Drosophila melanogaster: one gene and its partners. Changing the gene in region 3 together with the main gene of any one other region gives a genetic interaction. Each region holds a gene or a part of one and is shown on either strand. Other genes may lie near its edges.

Evidence for each region. Genes that interact genetically often act in the same process or in processes that back each other up.
Region 1: of S (region 3) and Raf, changing one enhances a phenotype caused by changing the other (phenotypic enhancement), as found in Drosophila melanogaster (2 studies listed by BioGRID).
Region 2: of S (region 3) and su(sable), changing one suppresses a phenotype caused by changing the other (phenotypic suppression), as found in Drosophila melanogaster (2 studies listed by BioGRID).

What each region holds. Positions count from the first base shown.
Region 1 is NC_004354.4:2,293,889-2,298,466, reverse strand, and holds the start of Raf (Raf oncogene), read right to left. Parts: upstream 3,002-4,578; 5' UTR 2,509-3,001; intron 2,314-2,508; 5' UTR 2,114-2,313; intron 1-2,113.
Region 2 is NC_004354.4:634,038-638,890, forward strand, and holds the start of su(sable) (suppressor of sable), read left to right. Parts: upstream 1-1,852; 5' UTR 1,853-2,242; intron 2,243-2,404; exon of another isoform or gene 2,405-2,550; intron 2,551-4,295; 5' UTR 4,296-4,409; coding exon 4,410-4,683; intron 4,684-4,743; coding exon 4,744-4,853. Other genes in the region: Dredd (death related ced-3/Nedd2-like caspase), read right to left, coding at 1-19, 88-450, 509-1,252, 1,357-1,446. UniProt on the Drosophila melanogaster protein: RNA-binding protein that suppresses transcription of some RNAs. Together with Wdr82, part of a transcription termination checkpoint that promotes transcription termination of RNAs and their subsequent degradation by the nuclear exosome.
Region 3 is NT_033779.5:1,074,769-1,079,726, forward strand, and holds the start of S (star), read right to left. Parts: upstream 3,048-4,958; 5' UTR 2,067-3,047; intron 1-2,066. Other genes in the region: ast (asteroid), read left to right, coding at 3,267-3,800, 3,857-4,297, 4,353-4,958.

The DNA.
Region 1 (4,578 bases), on a different chromosome or scaffold from region 3:
CACAAATTTCTAAACAGTTGTGTATGGTGTTTCTATAAGTTATCATTTATGTATTTAATTTATGTATCATCCAACGGATACCAAAAAGAGCGCATTATCGCAAAATCGGCTGATGAGTCAAAGAAAACACGAGGTCTTCACGATTAGGGTTCAATATCCCATATTCCAATGGCCCTTTCGGGTATTTCCACATTTCGGTACATACCCTTATCTTTTCTCCTCTTCGTTCACCGTTTCGACGATTGAAAGGCGAGCAATTGGATATTGAAAGTGGTATTGGAATTAGCTGTAGTACTGCGCTTTCAATGGGGATCATCCCACTCAATTAACGGTGCTTTTCATGGGCTTAGTGAGGACTTAAAACAGAGGGGCATCTTAACATTTATCAACAAATTAGCTAGTTTTTTCCTCATTCTTGATGATATTATAAACCAACTAAAGAATTCGAGTGCTACATATGTATTAACAAATATCCCTCTGCCTAGCTACGCCCGAGCACTACACCACACCCCCCCCCCCCACAAACGCTGTAATTACCGTTAACCAAGCCTAGCATTGTCTTTGGCCCTCTGTAACGTAACTGTAACTGTAACTAGCGCGCTTTCTTTGCTCTGCCGACGCTGACGCCTCAGCCACTGTCCGTTTTTGGGCTACTGGCAGCAGGTACAGTGAACACCGAACGACGATTCATGGTCGTTTTAGTGCCCACAAATAAGAGAGTTGGTGCCATTTTTACTTGTGAATAGTGCAGAATTGGTGCGGGAAAAATGAGAGAAGAAAACCAACAAAAATCTTAATGAATTACGAAACACTAGTCACTTAGCGAGTGTCTGCTGTACACTTTGTGCTTCATGAATGAAGTGGAGTGCGGGGAGATTGGCGACTAGACAAAGAGTATGCCGCTGGCCCACCCTCTGCCCCCGACGAGTCGGAAGTGACGATGAGAGCGGCGAGAAAAGAAAACAAACTGTTGGCGGCTGGTTTCTCAGCGAGAGAGTTTGCCTGAGCGAGCGAGGGAGCCTGGCTGCCGGGGATGAGGATGTTTGGCGGTGAAGGGGAGGCAAGGCCGCAATTAATTACAAACTCACCCAGCTGTCCCCACACGTTGCCCCCGTCTACCAGCTTCTGCCACTTCCTCTTCCCCCCCCCCCCCCCCCGCTGCTTCTCGCAAGTCTGCATCCGAAAAGTGGCACGTATCAATGTTGAAAGCATAAACACACAAAGAGACCAACGAGGCGCTCTCTCGCCAACGCCAAAGCGAAGAGCAGGAGGAGGAGCAGAAGAAGCGGCGAGAAATGCAAATGCCTACAAAAAACAACAGTTCTATCCAAAGTTAAATAGTTCACTTCGATGTAATGCATTCCCGTCTACTTTTCCAACATTAAACGAAGTCATCGAAAATAATTGTGATATCACACCCTTTATATGTACGTTCTACGCACATTTGATCCTTTCATTATCCTTTTTTCTTGTTGCTCGCCTGACCAAATTACAAATGACCACACAAACATGTGTTCGAGTGCAGGAACAGCCACCTTGCATAAATGGCAACTGCCCATACGTAATACGTAATCCGTACTACGTACTGCGTATGTACATATGTATGTACACACATGCAATGTTCATCCTTCCTCCTTTTGGTTGCGGATGATACCCACTGAAAGTAGAGTTGAAACGACTAAAAGTCTAACAATGCCCACTGCCCCAAGCACTGTCGTTTCTTGAATGCAGCCAAATCAACAAACATCACGGGAAGAGCGTGTGTGTGTGTTTGCGAGTGTTTGCGGGCCGACAAACATGCGCAGGCTGAAATCTGCTGACGACGCTGAGGCGGCATTTATCACTCCCAAAAAGCGTTGGGCTCCGCAGGGGGGTGAGGGAAGGGTACGCGCATTGGGAGTCATTGATTTTCGTTTATGAGTCGGGCAGGCGACGCTCTCACTTTTTATACGTTCATTCACACGCGGCACAGTGGGCCAGAACAAGAACAAATGGACAACAAAGCATTTCGGATGACAAGAATTCGAAGCTAAGACATGCGTACAATTAAACTTTAGAAAGATCTAAAAAAAAACCCTTGATATTGACTTAGGGTGGTTTCAGCCCAACTTACCTGTGGATTAACACGTTTGCCAGGTAAATACTGCGATTTGTAAGATTTTGACTTTAAGACGTTGGATAATCCCCGACAATCCGTTGATATGCGTTACTCCATGAAGGGCTTGAACGCCAAGCATTTGTTGGCTTTATGGTTAAAACACAATAATGCAACAATGGGTCATCAACTGCCAATTTATCCCACTGTGCTCTCCGCTGAAGTGAAGTGGCCGATGCAAAGGCAAAGAGAACGTTCCCATCGCACAGAGAGAGGGAGAGAGAGAGCAATCAAGAGTTGAGAGAGCGACTAAAAAAGGTGTAGGAGTCCGTGGAGGGGGGAAGGAGGGACAGAGGATAATAGAAGGGGAGGAGAATGGGGAATTTAAATATGTTATTGATAATTGAAATTACCGCGCGCCCCCGCTGCTCATTCAAATGCAATTTTGTTGCAAAGTTTCGATTTCGTTGTCACTCCCATCCTCCGCTTTTTGTTATTCCTACCTGCACATTGAAACGAAGCGAAATAAAAGCGCGTGCTAAGGACTTAATGGCAGTGCACTAAAAACATCTTCAAATTCAAACGGAATAAAATTGAAGCGAGGCGCTGATTTCGCTGCCGCTGTCGACGCAGGTAGCGGTGTGTGTGTGTGTGTATGTGTGTCCGTTTCGGTTTTTATTTACTTTGTTCTGCTTGTTTTTTCCAGTCTCTCGTTTTTCCTTTTTGTTTTTTGGCTTCTTTTGTTATCGGGCAGCAAATTGAAAGCAATAAATACTTAATTGTTAGCTTGTTGGTTATGTTGTTTTTGTTGTTGCTGCTGCCGCTTAATTACGTAATTCCGAACTTATCTGGGCGACTTTAAGAAAATGCAAAAGAGCGCCAAGCGTGTGGCAATGGGAATGGAAGAGGGATGGAATTGGAATGAGACGCGAAAGAAATCAAAACGGCCCATTTAAGCAACACAAGAGACACAGAAATTATGAATAGAGGTGGGGAAAAAATGTAAAACCATTGAAAATTTGTCAATATCGAAAGTGGGTCTAAGTCAAATGGCAGGAGTACGTGTGATTACAATTTTTTAAGATAATCAAAAACGTATGTACGTACATATGACTTATGTACATACATATGCTCATATATGTACATATGACTTATGTACATATGTACATATGCTCATATATGTACATATGTATGTGTGTGTGGGCATTATAAAAGATGAACTACTGAGATCGAGATCGAGTTGATGGCACTATACCAAGAAACGCGCGCAGGCAAATGTTTCTGGCTTATTTGTCCTCTTGTGACACAATTAGCTGATAAAGTTCCTGATGTTTTTCCCCGCAGCGTCTGGCATGTGAATCATCATCGTCATGGGAGCTTTTGTTTCTGGGAATTTCAATTTTGAATAAACAAAATCAAAACGAGAACTTTACTTCTTGCGGCTAAACACTTTGCACAAACACGTGCAAACTCTATGTTTGCATTTGCGTGTGTGTGTGTGTGTGTGTGTGTATGTCGTCATCGACCGTCAGCGGCGCCTTAATAATAGTACACAAAAATGATAAACAAAGATCCCCCCACTCACAGCACTCGACCCCTCCAGCCATTCACAACGCACGCTCATGAACTCTTCCCTTTCTCTCGCACTCGCACTTGCACTCGCTCTCTCTTTGTTTGAGTGCAAATTTGCATTGTCTCTTTGTGCTCGCACACAAACATATGTATGTATGTACATGCACGCAGACATAAGTGCGCACATAATCACACACGCTGACTAGTGCCAAACTGACCTCACAATTGTTGTTGTTACGATTATTTGTGCCCACTTTCTTGCTTTTGTTGTTGTCGTTGTTGTTGTTGTTATTTTTCGGATCATGCTAAAACTGTAAATGATGAGATGAACTTGTTGAAGAGGATGAATCGAGCTGGAAACGGGGAAGGGGGTTGATTCGAGCTCGCATTTCAAAACCTCAAAATACATAGTTTATAGACCTTCTACAGAGTCATAAGCACACATACATACATACATCCATGTATGCATACATCTTTGAGACAACACTTAAAAAACTATTCTACTTGGATTCTGATTCGCAAAACAGACTATAGGAGCCACTCTACAAGCATGAACATATGTATACATGCGCATATGTGTGTATTTAATTTTGTTAAACCCGTTAAGCCGAGCCGATAAGTTCAAGGGGTTACCCCCACGCCTAATTTGGCAATTTCAATGGATTCGAATGATTCCATGTCAGCGCCGTGTGGATTTCTCAATTAGCAGTTGCCGCAAGTGTAGGTGATTGCCTTAGCAAGTACTTTGCATAGCCAAATCCAGCCAAAGTCACTATTTTTACATAATAAAGGGGCAGGAGCAACAACTATGCGGATTATGCTCATCACCGAAGCGCCCAACCACTCAAACACCCACGACAACACAAATACACCACCCACTGACCAGCGATTTGCTTCCGTTACAAATGAGT
Region 2 (4,853 bases), on a different chromosome or scaffold from region 3:
TGGTCACGTCTATCCTAAACTGAAAGAGGAATACGAAAATGTATAGGCTTTCCCATTCGACGACTTCATGCTTATAAATCTCCTTACGAGCTCATTTGGCTTCTTTTTATGGACAAGCTTCTCCTGGCAGGCTTGTATGATTAGCAACTTCGGTTTGTAGTACAGGGTGTCGTAGCTGCAGAGCAAGTCCTCGATATCCGTGATCTTCATGGCGATGCTGTTGGATGCGTAGACGGCCTCCTCGAAGCCGTGGCTCAGGATGAAGACCACTAGGGAATCGCGCACGAGCGATCTATCGCACGCACTGCGAATGCGCTCTATGATGCCCATGTGATCCACGTTGTCGTACGCCTCCACATTGTATCCCATCGAGGAAAACACCTCGATTAGTCGTTCTTTATCCACATCCGTGCCATCCCGTCTACGCAGTGGGTCGGGCGACAGAAATTTCTGTGGAGAAGGGCAATGTTGTACTTCTTTTTGTTACTCAATATTGCAGAGATGAAACCATATTATCCCTGCTAACATTCCGGTGAAACTTCTGCTGGTTGATAATCAAGGCGATTCCTGCGTTCTCCCGGGTCAACTTAAGAGCATCTATTTGTGTGGAACAGTACGACTGCTGGTTATCCGATTCAATCTCTTGCTTGACTGCCATCGCAGCAGTGCCAGCCGCATCTGGCTCCGGAGCGTTACTAATGATGGTGTCTTTGAGCAAATTTGCTTGCGCCTGCAGACCGTTGGACTTCAAATGGCCGACCAGCAGCTGAACATCGCTGCCTGCGGCATTTATGTCCCCTAACTTTATGCTCCTTCTGGTCAGCCAGTCCAGCAAAAAGATCTCCAGGTACGCGGGATCGTAGAAGCGAAGTGGATCTCCTGCCTGCTGGCTCTCCACCTTTTCGCGAACATCTAGGAGCAAGCGGCCACTCTGCACCAACGACAACTCCTCACACATCCTGTAGAGGCTCTTCAACAGAGGATGGACATGCAGCGTGATCCCAGCGATATGCGGCAAGTAGTGCATTCGCAGCTCCTGCCAGCAGAAACCCAGTCTCCGGAGCACCTTGCGGGCCCCAATAATGCACAGGGCCTCCACGAGATGTCTTCTCCAGGTTTCTGGCCGGGACTTGGCGAACTTTATGAGTAGATCACTTTGCGGGAAGTCTGATCGTGTCATGGCCAAAAGTTTCTGCAGAATGTAGGTGGCATCCGAGTGGTCGTCGCCATAAAGCAGAAAGCAGAGGCCCACCTAGAAGAAAACGAAGGTTCTACTGTTTAATTAACACTTTGGTCTAGCGGATGTGTAAAACATTTGAGTCATATTCGAAAAGTCCTCCCAGGGAGGTGCCATACCTTTTGGGCAAAGTTCATGTCACGTTCCACGTAGATCAGATCGTTCTGATCGATGGTGTCTAGATGAATCAACAGGTTTGATCCGGCCATGGCGATCGGGAATATACAAAAATGTTTCACTTTAGGAAATGGCCGATAAATTGCACTCGCTGACATCCGATAGCCGTGGCCTGAAGAGCTTCCACCGATCGATATCGATAAATGGATATGTTTTCTGCAATAGCGAAAGATCGGGGTGCTACCTATTAATTATACTTAAGAAACAGATGATGTAGTTTTTTGATATAGAAGTTTAACAACCGGTTCAACAATCGGTTAATATTTAAAAATGTCGCAGCCAGCGAGCCTTTAGCTTTAAAAGTAAGCTTGCGTTCACGGTTTTTGGGGAAATACCAAATATACTAGGTAAAAACATCGATTAACTAATATCATCCAACACGACGATATGTTCTTTGCGAAAAATATCGATGTACTGGTATTTTTATGTTTCCACACCTCTAGTTCGTTTAAGTCGATCTGTTGAACTGTTAACAACACAACTCCTGAATATTATGTTTTGGACGAAAAGTTTTATTAATTTAATGTTTTTGTATATTGTATTCTGTCCATGAGCGTAACAGAGACAGACAGAGAGAAAGGGACAGATACTGAGATACGGGGCCCTCAGGCAGAGAAAGAGGGCGAAAGCAAGCTACAAGCGGGTGCGAGCGAGAGCGCGCGCTTGCCTCACGCACATATATATAAATCTGTACATACATATAGTATCAGAAGAAAAAACTAAAGCCGCTATTCGATTTACGAAAACTGGCGAAAAATTCGACGATTTGTCTCGTACCTATCTATGTACCTCACAACCACTTCGTCATCAAATACGTATAAGTCAGATGTATGTCAAACATATATATACATATGCATGTATATACACATCTATGTGAGGCCACTGCTATATCCCATACATGTATGCCTCTATATATATGTATATATTTATCCACCTACTGTACCACTTCCACATTATGTAAGCAGCGACGCAAACAAAACACTAAAGCAGAAAATCCGAAAAGCAAAATGCGAAATGCAAAACAACGAACCAACAAAATCCCATCTATAAACCGAAAACCGAACAGCAATGTTATAACAAATACCGAAAAGTTGTTAATGTTCCACAAAAAAGCATAAAGCAGTCACGCTAAGAGAGTAAGATCGAACAAATGAAATGTTTGTATGGCATAAGTAGTTCCCAGATTTTTGTATGTACTTCAATGCATATGCATGTGTGCGTATGCATGTATGTATGTATGTTTCTCGGGGCCATGTCTCCCCACGCCCACGTACGTGGGTGCTAGAAAGGGACAGATGGTGCAAATTTTTTAAATTGCATACACTTGATTTTGGAACGCCAGCCAAACAAAAAGATAAATTGCGTGCTTTTCTTTTGCTGTTCGTATGTACGTACATATGCAAGTGGAAACTGCGCAGCAGGGAAGCCACACGCATGAACGCCTTCCATTTACAGAGCATTCAAACAAATCGTACCGAAAACCAAACAAAAACTTTCACCTCAAGTGTAACAATTATATTCAAATTCGCTTTGAAGTCGCTGTAAAATATATGTATGTATGTATAAACAAAGACAAAAACATTTTGCCTCGCAGTCGACACACACACGCGCACTCGCACTGCACGCCTCGGCTGTGTGTGTGTATGCCCTGCTTAGATCATGAGTGTGCGAGCGAGTCGACATGCTTGGCAATCGCGAGTCAGAACTAAACACGCGCTCTATATGCACGTGTGTGAGACGCATTGGATTTTGTTATTTTCATCAATCGCAATGATTCCGTCCATCAGCTACATCCAAATATATACACGCATCCGCGCCATATGTACAATGCTACGAGCATTTACATACACATGTACATATGCGCGTGTGGCTCATAACGGTTCACTCCGCTTACGCACAATAATAAAGGCAAACGCCTACGACTTCCCCATTGTTCCTAGGCTCAATGGAAAGCCACTCCGTTGCTTTCGACTTTCGCTTTTCGGATTCTGGAATTTGTTTCGCTGTCCAAAACTACGTATAACTGAATCTTTATGTTAAGCCAATTGTAAAAAGTGTATTTTCCTTTCTCGTTCTCTCCACACAACAAATGTGCTAGCGCAACTTTGTTGATCACTTTTATTTTATACTGGAAGCATGTCCAGGACCCATACCCTTTAATTCATCAAACTGATTTGCTTATTATTTTGTTGCTGCACTTTGGAACTAGCTAAGTGCCAGGCTAAACCTAAGCGATCCGATCCCACTTAAACCAACCAACAAAGAGCAATCCAACCATTGTCAGCGAAAAGTGCTCAAACTTTCCGAGTGCTGAGATAAGGAAGGGTGCCCAAAACATTCATCGCAGCCATGCTGCCCACGCTACAAAGTGACTCTGACTGAATGCATCAGGATCGTATGATCCGGGTGGTCTATCTTAAGTCAATAGTTTCTGTCGCTAGTACTTGGACGTGCCTTCTGAATCCGTAGTCATTTGTGATACCAGCCATTTTATATTGTATTTACCTCAAAAACATTAATGTAGCATTTATTCAAGCAACGCTTGATTTTAGTGTTAACCAATTCCTTTCATTTGTGTTCAAAATTTTGACCGCCAATGGGGTGATTCAAATAATCCCCGAATGATTTTGGAAAAAAAGAATAAGGGGCATTAAACTACATTTATTAATTCGTTTTTATTCACTTAGAAGCGTATTATGGTACATTCCACCTTTTTAGTTAATACTAGCAGTTGCTTTATTTTAAGATACCATTTTATATTGTAATTGGACGTTAAGACAAATTATAAGACGTCCTTATATATGATTAGATTGGGAATTTGACCTTAAAACATATTTATGCATCCATATATGGTATTCAAAATCCGATCCCTTATCAACAGCTTTTCCAAATACCAAACACTTAAGAGTGCAGCAACAGAAGAGGGAGGCCACTTTTTTTAAGGGCACCAATTATTCCAATCTCATCCTGTGAGAGATTAGCTGCCAAATCGATAATGTCTGTCGCTTTAGCGGATGAACCCTTAATTGACTTGGAGGAGGATTTAGAGGACGGCGAGATCGACGACGATGAGGAGGACGAGCAGCAATCTTCAAAAATCCAAGTCCAAAAGAAGACTTTCGTAGGGGACGACGATGTGCAGTTTGTGGGTGTCGAGGCTAAGAACCAAAATGACGACGAAGATGTCGTTTACGTGGGACCATCGACAGATGCCGTTTGCCTCCAAAACAGCAACAGCACCAAGTCAAAAAAGCCTCGCCCATTAGAAGGTGAAAGCTCATTCAGTTGTTTCATTGATTCTTCTTGTTTAATCTGGATGTATTCCCTAGATGACCATGCTAGCAGCATTGAGTTGGCGATTGCCAATGCCCTCAAGAAGAAGGGCATAGAGCCCCCAATGCCCCGCATGCGTTCGTCTAACCAGGATACGAGCGATCAG
Region 3 (4,958 bases):
GAAACAGTCCTACTTTTTTGGCCGCCTCTGTTTCGCCTATTATGAATGTGCGAGCAAGATTGTTGTTATGGCCCCGTGTTGCCTTTCGGTTGATTTGGCTGCCTCTTTTCCTCTGTTGCCAGCTGGGCTGCATTTCAAACCATTTGGAAATTCGAAATTGTTTGCAAGCTTTTATTGGCCAATGCTGCTGCTTTTTCTTCTTCTTATTATTATTGGCCCCCGCCCCCGCGCTTTTCTAAACAATAATTAACAGTAAATGAAAGCGGGCAGGAAACGCGAGAGGCCTGTGGAGGCTTGTAGGTCAAGAAGCATTAGATGGGCAAAGGTATAGGCCATTAGCCATTATTTCCTAGTCGCTGTTATTATTCTGGCCACTGTTGCAATGGCTCCATCTAACGGTGCCTTCTTGCCTGCCGCATAATGACGCCTAATTGGCCAGGCAGAGATCAGGAATCTCAGAAATCAGAGATCGCCAATTGAGAAAGTGAGATCAGTGACAAATTACGCGGGCAATTTAAGCGCAGCTTTAAGCGGGCACATCCGCTTTGCACATACGCGCAGTGCAGAACATTAGACAAATTTGCACATTTAATCAAAGACAATTGTTTAATTGGTCAATTGCGGCAAGTAACTGGAGTACCAGCCGGGAAATGGGAACGGGGCAAGTGCGAAAAACAAGATAGTGCAGGATGAGACTCCTACACGCAGCACATGTGACATTAGAAACAGTTCTAACAAATATCTTAATTGCTATCAAATTTTATGCCGCCAGAAAACCTCGATTCCACTCAGTTTCAGTTGGGTTAGAGGCAACACAACTGGGGGAAGTTCGAGACCGCTCTTTATCGGGCCTCTCTATTTACGTTTCCAGAGTGGGACGGCAATAGCCGTGGCAAGACAATCATCAAGTGCGACTCTTGCTGGTGTTTTCGCTGTGGCCCCTGCACTTCCTACTAGGAAATTCCCCAGAACTCGGAATTATATGCAGCAGCAGCGCTGGCAAGTGTCATTTGAGACCAAGCACAAAGAGACACACAGCAGCTGCTCCCCAGTGGACTTGTGTGTGTGCCGGAGAGTGGATTTTATTTGAAATTCAAACTCTTTTTATGGTGCCCACTGATTACAGGGTATGCGAGGGTAGTATGCACTTGTGTAAGGAAGTGAGCAATGCTGTTCTAAGGATTGAGACTAACCAAATCTCGCTTTGGAATATTTCCTTTTCAGAAATGCCCTACAAACAGTTTATTAAGAGGTATCAACTGGTCGAACCGCTATGAACTTCACTTCCTCCCCGGATTACCAGTAAAAATCGTTAAAATCGCAGTCGCAACAGCTGTAGGAAAACTATAAACCACATTGGGAAATGCGTTTGGGATGGGGTGAATATGGATGGCTACGCCTTTTGCGGCTCTCTAAGCCCTGGGATGAACTTTTGTGCTCGATTTCCAGTTGCCAAAAAGCGCCGGAAATTGCTGGCAACTGTCGGTGGTCGCCAGATCGTCGGCATATATGCAATGTCTGCAGCAAAGCCCCCTTTTTCATATGGAAAATGAACCTGATTCTCGAGCACAGCGGCGAAAATTACATAATCGCCGGGCAAATGGGAGCACAGTCATATCGAAATTGTGCCAAATTGCAACTGCAGATGATAATAACGATAATTTATTTCTCCCCCAGTGAGATGTTTCTATTATACGAGCAATTTTCTGGAATCAGCGGGTGCCTAATTTCGCCCGATTTTCTCTGTTTCAGCAGCCAGGGAAAACATTTCAATTCTTCTATTTTTTCTGGTTTTTTCGGCCCACCAACAGAGGTTTTCTCTAGTTTATCGGCTTTCCCGAGGGTTTTTCCTCTTTCCGCTACCTGCGAATACCTGCCCCGAAAAAAAGAGGCGTGGGAATCGCCGAACATACAGGAGGTGCAGAGTTGGGAAATCGGAAAAAATTGCAATTGCAGGACGTGTGAAAATGTGCGGAAGACAGGAAACGTGGGCCAAGACCACTCGCAGATTTCCCGGAACGGCCTTGGCCAATGGGAAAGGGATTTTTCCCTGATTTTGAACTCACCTTTTTCGGCAAAGAGGGAAGTTATATATGTTTCGTATCCGTAAAACGAAGCTCCCAAGACACCAGAAGAACTCTGCACACACGCACTTGCTTTTGAACCGTCTTTTTTTTTCAACTCTAGGACGAATTATCGCACGGTTGATTTACGTTTTTTGCTGGTTTGGCTTAACAATTTCCTTTTGGAACATTTATTTGCACACAATTATTTATTAAATGCCGCACACACACACACAGGTGATTGGTGATCGATGATGGGCCGTGTGTGGTTGTGTTGTTTACGTACGTGTGTGTGTGCGTAGAGCACGCCTCGCACACACTGACAAAAATTCATTCACGACACGGTGATCACGATCGTCGCTCTCGCTCGCTCACTCATGGTGTTTTTGTGTGGAAAATCCAAGAGAAAAATAATACTATGTGAAGCGCAGACGAAAGACGCACAAAGCTGAGTTATTAACGTGTGTTATTGTTGTTGTTGTTTCTCGTTGCTACTGGATGTTTTCTGCTGCTGTCGCCTTGTATTTACTTAATTTCATATGCATATTTCGCCCATGGTTTTCTTTTTTCCGCTGCTTTTCCTTCTACCTGTGCTTTAGTTAAACGAACACACAAAAACAACACACACGCACGCACACCACACTCCGCGCACACACACACGCACGCACGAAACGAGAGACGCAAAGGTAAAGTGGTAAAGTGTGTGCAAGAAAAGCGACAAGAAACGGAACGGAACCAACGGAACCCGTATATATGCACGCGCTCTTCGATTCAATGGCGATTTCGGTTTCCACTGCACTCGCTGTGTTTGTGCTAGTACATTTCCCAGTTTCCTTTAGATTTTCGGTACAAGTGTTGCTATTGCTGGCGAATTTTTCTCCTGGCCACCGCGTAGCACTCGCGACGTTACGATTTTTCGACGTTTGATGCGCGGGTGGAGAGCAGACAAGCGTCGGGTTGGAATTGTCGGGACAGAGTGTGACCGCGGCGCCATCCCCGGAATATACCATCCGGCTGCGGGAAATACCCTAGATACCAAACTAATCGCTCATATATACCAAACGGCAGCGAACGGCCACGCTAAAGAATCGATATGTACATCGATAGTATCGCACTGCAAACTGACATCACTATTAGCACGCTTTTAAAGTTTGTGCAAAATAGGTAAATAGAAAATTGGGAAAATAGGCAAGCGCCGGGAAAATGGGAGTCCGCGGCCTGACCAGTTACATAGCGCAGCGCGCGGAGATCTACCTTAAGCCGCACGAGCTGCACTCCACGGCGCTGGTCATCGATGGCGACAACTTGAGCTGCAATCTGTACAAGGATGTCACCGGGAGCTACTCCGCCTTCGGCGGCGACTACGACGACTTCTACCGCGCCGTGGTGCAGTTCTTCCAGGTTCTGGCCGAGTGCAACATTCGGCCCTATGTGCTCATGGACGGCGGGTACGAGGAGCGCAAGCTGAGGACCGTTAGCACCCGGCTGCGCAACAAGATTTCCGTGATCAAGAAGATAAACCCCAATGCATCCATCACGCTGTTCCCGCTGCACCTCAAGGAGGTTTTCGTGGACGCTGTGCGCGACTGCGGAGTCCCGGTGATGAGGTGCGTCTTTGAGGCGGACGACGAGTTGGCTGCTCTGGCCAGGAAACTTAACTGCCCAGTGCTCTCCTACGACTCGGATTTCTACATCCACAACGTCAAGTACATCCCGCTGATCACGCTGACTGTTAAGGTAAGGCATAAGTTATTTGGATTCCAGCATATACTAAGCGATTCCATGTACCCCAGGTTCTCACCAAGCAGGTGAAGGACAAGAACAGCAGCAACCAGAAGGACAGTCGAGATCTACGTCACTGCGAGGCCAAGAATGTGAAGAAGCGCACCAGGGCCAACAAGATTGTGACTGGCATTCAAACCACAGGGCTGACAGCCAGTACAAAAGGCAGTTCCAAGACCTACAAGTACCTCGACTGCTGCATCTACCGGGTGTCCCATCTCTGCGGACGAGGAACTCTGAGTCCCGAGAAGCTACCCCTTTTTGCCGCCCTCCTGGGCAATGACTATATTGCCCGCAGTGCCTTCAAGAACTTTTTTGCTGCGGGAATGGGCAAAGCAGGACGAAGTCGCAAACTAAAGCTCCAGCAGAAGCGCATACAGGTCATCCTCACATGGCTGAAGGAGGAAACGGCGGAATCTGCTCTGGCTAAAGTGCTGTCGAGACTGAAAAAGGTTCGTTGCTTGAGATATCTTTTTCCGATTTATGCTAAAAATAATATTCTTGCAGAACCAGCGTGATTCCCTGGTCTCCCAAGTGAATGCAGCCATCTCTGGTTACTCCAACGAGTTGTGCCACGCCTACGATTACTTCGATGAGCACTACGAGAATGCTTTTCCTTATATAGAACCCGTCAGTGAAGAGGAATGCAGCGACGATGAACATTCGTCTAGCTCCGATGAAAAATTTTCAGATGTCGAAGAAGGCGAGGATCAGGAGGAAGCTGATAACCAAGATGAGGAGCAGCAGGAAGAAAATCAAGACGTTGATTCGGGTGATGAAGAAGAAGAGGAGGCGGATGAAGGCCTCGAGCTGGAAGTGGAAGACAAAACGCTACTCTTCCCACAATGGTTTCTGGACAAACTATATCCCGCGCACCTGCCCCGCAGCTTCGTGGACCTTATGCACCTGCGCAAGTACATCAACAACCCACAGATCGAGCACTTTCCCTTCCACGACTCCAATGAAGTGGCCTTACCCATCCTGAACTACGTGTTCGCTCTTCTCCATCACGTAGAGTGTGAGAAAATTGAGCTACCATTAGAAGTGGATATGGATATAGAGGGTTCGACAGTCCCCTATCTCACCTACCTCACCAGAGCTCTGCGAGTGACG